Caenorhabditis elegans: one gene and its partner. The protein of the gene in region 1 purifies or fractionates together with the protein of each later gene. This does not show direct contact. Each region holds a gene or a part of one and is shown in the gene's direction. Other genes may lie near its edges. The genes, in order: C04B4.4 and gid-7.

Region 1 (5,182 bases):
GTGGGGCAAAGGTGCATGTAGAACTGTGGACAATACAAGTGGAAAATGAGAGGGAAAAGGAAATGGAGAGCATGTTGCGACAAATGAAAACACTATTTTTGTTCCACAACAGATATATAAGATTACCAAATTGTAGAGCAACATACTGTTTTTCTAGTGCTTTTCTGGAATTTTGACACAAATGTAAAAAGTTTTTTTTTTTTGAAGTAAGAAGTTTCATTCTGATATTTGTTCATTTGCGGACATGTTGGGAATTTTACGTTCAAAACTCCCAGAACCGTTCGTTCTGTTTAATGCAGTTTGAGGGAATTTTAGATTGTACATTATGTGAGACCTCAAGACTATAGAAACTTGTAGGATTAACTAAAAAAAATGACACCAAACTATTTTCTTACCGCTATGCTATTTCGTAGATCCCGAAAAATACTCTGGCCACATCGAAGTTTATAAAAAAGCATACGGTGTCTCGTGGCCTATGACGAAAAGTGTCTCCACCCCACTTCTCTAGCAATCGAGTAAAAGAATTGGAGGAACAAACAAAAATAGTGTCATTTTTTCCACCTCGAAGGACAACCACTTTTGATGAATCATTAGGTGATTAGGACAGATAGAAAAAAGAGAGATCACGAGCAGAACGGAAAACAGAAAAAAATCATACAGTAGAATAATTTATGGAAGCTTACGACTGCTCTCACCTTCTTTTTTCTCTGTTGATCAGCATTATTTTGCTTAATTTTCGTTGCACTAAGGTTTTCTCATTTATACAATTAGTCTAGAGTTTAGTATTGCATGCAATTTTATTTTTCAAATGGTCATTTTGAGTGCAAGTCTGGTAAGGACTTCAACACTAATAGGCAAAGTACAGTAGTTATCATTCAAGGAACAATATGGATTGTTAAAACCTCTCAAACCCTCGATTTTTACAATTACCATAAACAGCACCATATATCGCAACGTAGTTCACAAATATCTGCGATTTCTTAAACACACACCCTGCCCCAAAAAGTCTGCATAGAGTTTGAGGAACCAGATGTGCTTAATAAGAATGGCCTTCATTTCGAAACAAATTCAACACATGTAGTCATTCGTGCTGGATTTTTGTTTCTGTGTACGCGCTCGTATTTTTTTAACATCATTTAATTTCAGTTTTAAAATTCAATATGGGATAGCTTTTCAATTTTTATATTGTTTTAATTAATATTTTTCATATTTAAAAAAACTTCAGATTCAAGAACTCACTTTGATAGACTTGGAGAATATGATCTCATGAGTGAACTTTCACTGAATCTTAAATCTCAGAATATGAATTTTTCTAATCTGGTGATGTAATTTTCGAAACGTTCGGATAATTTTTTGGCAAATTTATTTGCCTTTATTTTTGTTACATTCCTTTAGAAGTTAAATCAAGCTGAAAACTTATAGAAATGCGGTACTTAGCGTGCACGATATGAACATTAATTTATGCTCACAAGAATTGACGCAAAAAAAAGTCATGTTATGTTGGAGGAAGTGAAATCATACGACTAATTTTTGTCTGACAGAATGTTAATTTTAATTTTATTTTAATAATGCTCAATATTCGTTTTTCAATTATAATGTTTTGTGCCATATCAACTAATCACTGAATTTTCCTTATTTCAAAACGACGGTTTAGACTGTCTTTGTTGTATTAGTCATCAACGGGATGAAAAAACAGATTTCGGTATTTTCTAATTTCAATTTTGATCAATGTTTATCTTTTTCTAATTTCGCTGTTCTCAAGTTTTTCTCAAACATTTTTTTACACGTTTAAAACTTCAGAAGCCACTCTTCACATTTGCAGGAGCTACTGATTAACTGTCAGTTCTTGTCACTATCTCTTTCCAGGCTCCGTTCTCCGGTTATCCATTTTCACGAGTTTTATAGATGTCATGTGAGTGTAGCCTTAAAACTAGAAACTATATTCTCGCTAATGTAACGTAGTTTTTGCGTGGTTTTCACAAAACTAATCTGAAATTGTCGCTAGGCTAAATAACACACCAAAAAAAGAATAATTGTAAGAATTGTGATTTTGAGCGTTTGAAATTGCCGACGCCATGTTGAAAATTTTAAGACGGGTTATATATAAATTTAAATATAAGCTATTGAAGTGTTAGTTTGTAATTTTTTCGATTTTTTTCGTTCAAAGTTTGCAACGTTGCAGTACTATTTTTGAATAACATCTGAGAGCTGGAATCAACTATAAGTAAAGAAACTAATTTTCTGTGAAAGCACATGATCGATAGTGCAGACATGATCTACAGTTTCAGCTATTGCACCCGCAAATAGAGTAGATATTTCTTTTATTATTATTACACAAAGGTATAGTCAAAATAGTAAAATAGTCGCAGGTAAAATAGGTGGAAAGTTTTTCTCATGATAGGTCCAAAATAAAATTTTACCCGAGAATCATATTTTTCTTAACCAGAAAAGTAATCGAAAGCGTGAAGCAACTGTGATAGAATAAGCTAGGATAGTTCAAAACTGAAACATTTGGTAGAAAAAGAGGAAAATGACAAGATGGTTTGATAAATATTAATTATTCAGTAAACGTTCCAATAACACCTGACGGGACGTCGAGGTCCGGAAGGCGCCAACTCAGCGTCGATGACGTTCTTAAAACGATTTGTAGTGCAGGACATTATACCGTAGACATTCCCATCAACGACTTTGGCAAAATTGTTTTTCTCAGTCCTGAAAGAGGAGTTATTCAAACTGTCGATGGTGAAATGTGCTCATTTGCAATTGTGGATTTACGCATGAATGTAAGTTTTTTCCGTACCATCTTTTGCACGTTTTAAGGAATGTTTTATACAAGTAAAAACCAAAAAAAATTAAATGTAAGATTCTAAAAACACAAATGCCATTCGTTTCTTTCAGGGTGTGACTGATTTGACAACAGTTCTGCGTGTTGGGTGTGTTCTAAAGTTTTTTATTATCCGACAACTGGACAACACGTTTATTGCAACGAATATTGGCCCGGTTTGCGGACCTGCATCAGAGCTTATCTTCTACAGAAGAAAGGAGGTGTTCGTTGTTGCTCCAGAATATCATTATTTATTGGAAAAAGAATGCATTGCTTTTCTGAGACTTTTTGTAATCTTCCTGGAACATGGTACTTTCTCCTTATCAATGAGCAGGTATTTTCTTTTTTGAACGACCGGAGTCGATTCAAAACGAATTATTTTTTGACAGGATCCTGAAGGAGTTGGCCAAATTCAATGATCATTTTCTCAATGAATATTTGGGATCTTCGGATGCAAAACGTCGAAAGTTCATTGAATGTCGGACTCACTGGTTTCAAATAGGATGGAACGATGTTGTCAAGCTTCAAGTTTGTCATCAATTTTTATTTTAATGTTTCAAAAATTTTAATTTCAGAGACCAGATGTATATGATGCAATATTCATTCTCGTTTCCTTCGTTCTTCGTAACGGTGGTGTCACTACCATTGAAAACACATTCCAACTCTTCCAGAGTGATTATATGCCTCAGTCATTCCGGCAGAGAACTGGAAGCGATCTCAATTCATTTGTAGGATTTCTCAATTCGCATACCTGGCTCTTTGCAGTATTTCCATGCCACAAGTATGTCTCAGCTTCGAGAAACTTGCCATATATTAATTATGAGGCATTCACAAAAGGAATAAAAGTACTAGAAAAAGCATCAGGACAGCATCAATGCCCAATGACCTCTTCTTTCCCGGTGGAACTGTCGATGACGTCGCTGAACTCAAAAGTTTTCTCAAATGGACTTGAACAGACGGGGCCTGATCAAAAATCCCAACTCAGTAAAAATGGATCGCCTAAAATCAGATTCATGGAAAACACGACTAATAATGTTACCCGGCTGGAGTCGGCAAACTCCATTTCAAAGAGACGGGAAGTCATTATGCATCCACAACACTGGTATCCGGTTAAAAATGCTCCGCGCTCAAAGCAAAATAGTAAGCAATCACTCAAAATGACTTCGAACAAAATGTTGGACCTCAAAGGATTCTCCATGAATGATCCTCCAAAGTCTCGATTCGCAATAGCTAATCAAAACTCTGAAGGACGTGCATCACCTGTTCAACCAAAAAATACAAGTAAGTACATATGTATTCACTATATATGTGACAGTATTCGAAAACTTCTCTGCCCATTTATGTAATCTATTAATTAATTGTTTTTTCAGATCCTGATGTTTATCGTGTTCGCTCATCGATTAGCTCCATAGGAAATTCCGAAGACTTTCGATCATTCGATAGCTGTTCCACATCTGAAGTGAACGATGTACTTCCCGGTTTATCTTCTCCAACTAGACAAGGAAAATAATTGCTCTTATTTCTATACAAAAACGCTTCTTCCAATCCCTGATTTACAGTCAGACTTTCCCTGTTCATTATCTCCAAATTTTTGGCCTTTCAAACATGCCACGAGATCCTCAAATGTATTATTTGTACCAGCAATGTTGACTTATGATTTCAAATGTAAAAATCAATTTTAGAACTAAACTGATTAATTGCTTGACAATAATCATCTATTGAATTTATGTTTCCATTTACTTTCAAGTTAATAAATCAATCAATCAAGGTGGCAAAGGGCAAGAGGGAAAATTATTCACTCATTATAGTGTCTCTGACAAACACAATTGATGTTTTGATGAAATCCATATTTTCCGTGAAATTCTACTTTGTTTTATTTTTTTTATTTCAGAACTATTATGTCGAGCACAAAATCTGAAAAAAAAAACATATTTTAGACGCATTTGTGTTTTGCTTGAAAACCCCTTCTCTCTCATTTTTTGTTTTCCTGTAAAATAATTATCATTGTCATGGCCGCGGCCGCGGCCGAACTTCTGAAGTCGGTTCATGTGCGCTCCATTGAGAACATGGCGGGCACCCTGCACTCTCTTGTTGCGTTGCGGTTATTTGCAAAAGGTGTTCTCACGTTTTTTTTTTTTGGATTTCGCAATCCAACTTTTGCCTCATTTTATTGAATAATCGCTGCCACATTTGCATTTTTGTGTTTCATTGTCAAGCTTCAATTCATTTTTACTGAAAAACAATAAAACTTCGTATAAAAGTTTTCAAAAATCTTGGGCAAATGATTTTTACCAACAAATTGCTTTTTCCGCTTCCTGCTACTCTGTCGTCCCCTTTTATGAACTGTTTTACAAGTAG
Region 2 (4,949 bases), on another chromosome or scaffold:
GGGATTGTGCTCATTGCGATGCTCACCGGGGAGCTTCCGTGGGATCGGGCTAGCGAGTGCGTTTTCATCGCGTTTTTGGCGGAAATTAGCATATTTTGATGGTTTATTTCACATTTTTCGGCTAAAAATGGCAATTTCTCAACGAAAAATGTGTATAAACGAGAAAAAACAATAAAAACTATTTTCCGACCGTTGAGACACCAAAAATCAGAGATTTTAGCTAATTTTTGACGAAATGAATGTTTTTTTTCAGCGCCTCTCAATCCTACATGGGATGGATCAGCAACACGAGCCTCGACGAGAGACCGTGGAAGAAGATCGACGTTCGAGCCCTCTGCATGCTTCGTAAGATCGTCACCGACAAGACGGACAAGCGCGCGACAATCGAGCAGATCCAAGCGGATCCGTGGTATCAGCACAATTTCGGTCAAGTCGAGACACCGAACGGGCGGCCACTGAAACGCGCTCGCAACAATGATGAGAATATGTGAGTTTAATAGATGGCTTCGGCCATATCTGGTGTAGATTTACGGCGCGTTGCGTGTCGCGTCGCGGCTCGATTTTAGTTGCGAAAAATGCAATGAGGAAGGCCAGAACCCCATTTAAATTTAAAAAAAAATCACAATTTCATGTTAAAATGCTCAATATATTCCAGCACATGCACTCAACAAGCCGAATGCTCCGCGAAACGTCGTCACTTGGAGACTCCGAACGAGAAGAGCACTCTGGCGGAGAGACAGAATGCTTCGTTCTCCCAGCCGACAAAGACTGAGGATCTTCTGCTTACTCAGCATATTGATATGTCGCAGACCAACTCGGTTAGGAAAAAACCGTCAGAAATTGGCGGATTTTTAGCTAAAATCTCCAATTTTTCGGTCGTAAATTGGCATTTTTGATAATTTTAGGATGAAAATTCGCTAATGACACGGAAATGGTTGCAAAATTAGAGGTTTTTGCTAAATTTACTTTTTTTTTTGATTAAAAAACCCAGAATTTAGTTTAAATCCCCCTAAAATTTTCAGAATCTCCTCCAACGAATGGTGTGCCGTATGACACGTTTCTGCGTCGTCACCGACATCCGTTCCACGTACCAAAAAGTGGCTCGAGCCAGTGAGCACGCCGGCTTCGGCGTTCGTGAGACTGACGACTACCGTCTACTAGTCACGTGGCGCGAGGTTTCGATGATGGTCAGTCTGTACACGATGGGCGATATTCCCGACAAGCCACGTGTCATGGTAGATTTCCGCAGGTCTCGCGGTGACGGAATCCAGTTTAAGAAGATGTTCATGGACGTTAGAAACCGTATGCATGAGTGGATATGTACCGACGGAAACAACTGGCTCGCCAATCTTGGATATGTGCCAAGAAATCCGCAGATAGTTAATGGTGGTGGAGTCAATGTGGAGCACTCGGCGTCCTCGATCAATGTGGATGTCTAATTGTTTTTTTTTGTTTGTTCGTTTTTTGTTCCATCAGACTATTGAGATTTAAAGCACAATATTTATCATCATCATCATCACTTTAAACATCTCCCTATCCCATTAATTTTTAAATTTAACGTGAATTAACGCCGAATTACAAGCCTGTGAATGAATGTTTGTTTTTATCTCTGCGTCTAGAGTTTGTCCCCACTGCCTCATCATTCCTCCTCTTTCTCTTTTCCCTCTCTCACTTTTGCACAATATCTCGCTGCCCCTCGCCTCCGTTCGATAGTCGTCAGCTGAGAGAGTGTCTGCAGCAGACAAGACAATTCTTACTAAATAATACGCACGAATATATTCTTATGAATTTTTCTACCCCCTACTGTCATTAGGTCTCAACTGGAAAATCTGGAATTCGTTTTTGTAGTTTTCAAAATATCAGTGGCGCGTCGTTCCCACTTAACAACTCAAAGTGGTTCGGAAACCCATCGGAGAAGAGGCTGACGAGCCAGCCGTTGTCCCGGCCAAGCGACAGAGGTTTGCAATTTAAAAAAAGCTAAATATGACGATTTTGCGATACTGTACCAGGTCTCAACACGACAAATTTCTATAAAATTAATGCAAAAGTGTGTGTGCGCCTTTAAAGAGTACTGTAATTTCAAACTTCTGTGGTTACGGAATTTTCTTATCGATTTTTCTTAGTTTTCCGATAAAATTTCGTATTTAAATTCTTTTTTTAAACACCAAAATTTAACAAATGATGAGAACAATTGAGAGAAATCGATATTACGGGAACACAAAATGCTGAGAATGCGTACTGCGCAACATATTTAACGCGCAAAATATCTCGTAGCGAAAACTACAGTAATTCTTTATATGACTACTGTAGCGCGTGTGTCGATTTACGGGCTCGATTCTCGAAACTGATTCAGGCCCGTAAATCGATACAAGCGCTACAGTACTCCTTAAAGGCGCACACTCATTTGTATTTATTGTAATGCCACAAGATTTTGTCATTCATTCTTAAAGGCGCATCGATTCACTCAGATGGGTCTCGGCGCGAAAAAAAAATTTTTTGGAGTTTTTGCGTTTTCTTTCATTTTTCTGTTAAAGCCGACAAGCAGGAAAAGCACTTATGAAATTTGTCTAAACATTTTACGAAAATTTAAAAAAAAAACGACAAAACTCGCTAAAAACCAAGAAATTTCATTGATAAACGCAAAAAAAAAAACTTTTAAAAAACTCTTTTCGCGCCGAGACCCATCTGAATAAATCTGGGTGCCTTTAAGCGGACATGTCGACTTCTAGCGAAATTACGATAACAAAACCTTCAATTTCAATCGATTTTTTGTAGTTTTTACGATTGCAAACATATCAATTTTTGCAAATCGAAAATTCCGCGGCACCTAAAGTTTTAGACTACAGTACTCTTTAAAGGCGCATACCTTTTGACAATAAACAAAACATTGTCGCGTCGAGACCAGCTACCGTATTCTTGGCGCGCGAAAATTGGCAAAAATTTCAAAAAAAAATTCCAGAATGACTGTCGACGAGCAACTTGACGATGTTGGTCGTAAGGGTAAGAAGATGTCTGTAGCACAAAGATTGCAGAATCATGCGGTAAGGGTCTCACAGCGACACGTGGTGTCAGGTTGTCCCGTTATGGTTTGATCTACAAAAAATGCGGGAATTTTTTGCCCCAAAAAATGTGACGTCAGCACGTTCTTAACCATGCGAAATCAGTTGAGAAATATGCGTCTCAACTCCCGCATTTTTTGTAGATCTACGTAGATCAAGCCGAAATGATACTTTTTGACATCATGTTCCGCGATTGAAATGCAACAAAAAAATTCACTTTTTCCAGCAACTATCCCCCAGATCTCAAGATGATCCCGAAGAAACCGAGTCGGTGATTCGAAAGGAAATCGCGTTGGGAAAATATGATAAAGCAACAATTCGAATTATTGCACAATTTTTGGATAATATCGGCTTGACGTAAGTTTTTGACCAGTTTCGGGTCTCGGCACGACATTTTTTATGTTGAATGAAAACGGGTGTGCGCCTTTAAAGTTTCTTTATCGATTTTTCAGAGTTTTTTGTAAAAAAAGCACACGTGGTGTCAGAGTGTCTCATTTCGGCTTGACGCAGAGTTCTCAACTGATTTCGCATGATTAATACCGTGCTGACATCACATTTTTTTGGGCAAAAAATCCCGCATTTTTTGTAGACCAAACCGTAACGGGACAGCCTCGCACCACGTGGAATTTTGGAATTTTGAAATTACGAAATTTTAAGGCGCATGTCTTTTTTCAATAAACAAAAAATGTCGTGTCGAGACCGGCTACCGTATTTTTGACCCATTTTTTCAGAAGCTCTGTTGAAACTCTCGTTGAAGAGACGGGCTTCACAATTGAAACAACGTCGGGTGCCAGAGTCCGTGCGAACATTCTCAAAGGAAACTACGACGCGGCGATTCAAATTCTCGAAACTTCAAATGATCACATTACTGAGGAGACCGCAAAGCATGGATCATATATTGTTAAATGCTTCAAACTAGCTGACCTAGTTCGGAAAGGAAGGGTTCGTGCTAGACTTGGCACATGGTGTCAGAGTACGGTTTGATCTACAAAAAATGCGGGAATTTTCTGCCCAAAAAATGTGGCGTCAGCACGTTCTTAACCATGCGGAATCAGTTGAAAACTCTGCGTCTCTTTTCCCGCATTTTTTGTAGATCTACGTAGATCAAGCCGAATTGAGGGACTTTGACACCACGTGACATGGTGCATCGTGTGTCCAAAATATTTTCAATTTCAGTACTTTGACGCTCTGTTCACAATGCAGAAAATGATACGAGGCGTCATACTTGATCATTCCGAGCATTTTGATTATTTTGACACTTTTTTCAAAGACGTCCTGCTCGGAAATTGCCGATATCAGAATATTGAGTGAGAATTTTTATTTTAAAACTCGATTTTCTAAATAATTGGAAAATTTTCAGCCAAGTTGCCGAGAGGCAGTCCCAGTTGGCGTTTCTCGAGGAAATTCTTCCATCCGACTTTATTTTGCCGCAAAATCGATTGAAGACTATTTTGAATAAAGGTAATTGATTTTTTGAGGACACAAAATTCTGAGAGCTCTGCGTATTGCACAACACATTTGACGCGCAAAATATCTCGTAGCGAAAACTACAGTAATTCTTTAAATGACTACTGTAGCGCACTGGTGTCGATTTACGGGCCTTAATCAGTTTCGAGAATCGAGCCCGTAAATTGACACAAGCGCTACAGTAAGAATTACTGTAGTTTTCGCTACGAGATATTTTGCGCGTCAAATATGTTGTGCAAAACGCATTCTCCGAATTTTGTGATCTCTTAATTGTACATCAGGGGTGGGCTGCAATTGCCGTTCGGCAAATTTTGTAAATTCGGCAAATCGGTAAATTGCTGGTTTGCCGATTTACCGGAAATTTTGATTTTCGGCGATTTGCCGATTTTCCGATTTGCCGGAAATTTTGATTTCCGGCTATTT

What was found.
Region 2: the proteins of C04B4.4 (region 1) and gid-7 fractionate together in Caenorhabditis elegans (co-fractionation; one large-scale study listed by BioGRID). This does not show direct contact.

What each region holds. Positions count from the first base shown.
Region 1 is NC_003284.9:12,288,934-12,294,115, forward strand, and holds C04B4.4 (Anaphase-promoting complex subunit 1), read left to right. Parts: upstream 1-1,905; coding exon 1,906-1,912; intron 1,913-2,565; coding exon 2,566-2,783; intron 2,784-2,898; coding exon 2,899-3,158; intron 3,159-3,213; coding exon 3,214-3,352; intron 3,353-3,399; coding exon 3,400-4,105; intron 4,106-4,194; coding exon 4,195-4,334; 3' UTR 4,335-4,466; downstream 4,467-5,182.
Region 2 is NC_003283.11:3,753,808-3,758,756, reverse strand, and holds the start of gid-7 (CTLH domain-containing protein), read left to right. Parts: upstream 1-1,682; 5' UTR 1,683-1,958; intron 1,959-2,959; 5' UTR 2,960-2,960; coding exon 2,961-3,041; intron 3,042-3,285; coding exon 3,286-3,416; intron 3,417-3,790; coding exon 3,791-4,001; intron 4,002-4,235; coding exon 4,236-4,366; intron 4,367-4,419; coding exon 4,420-4,520; intron 4,521-4,949. Other genes in the region: Serine/threonine-protein kinase chk-1, read left to right, coding at 1-56, 254-487, 656-818, 1,023-1,439.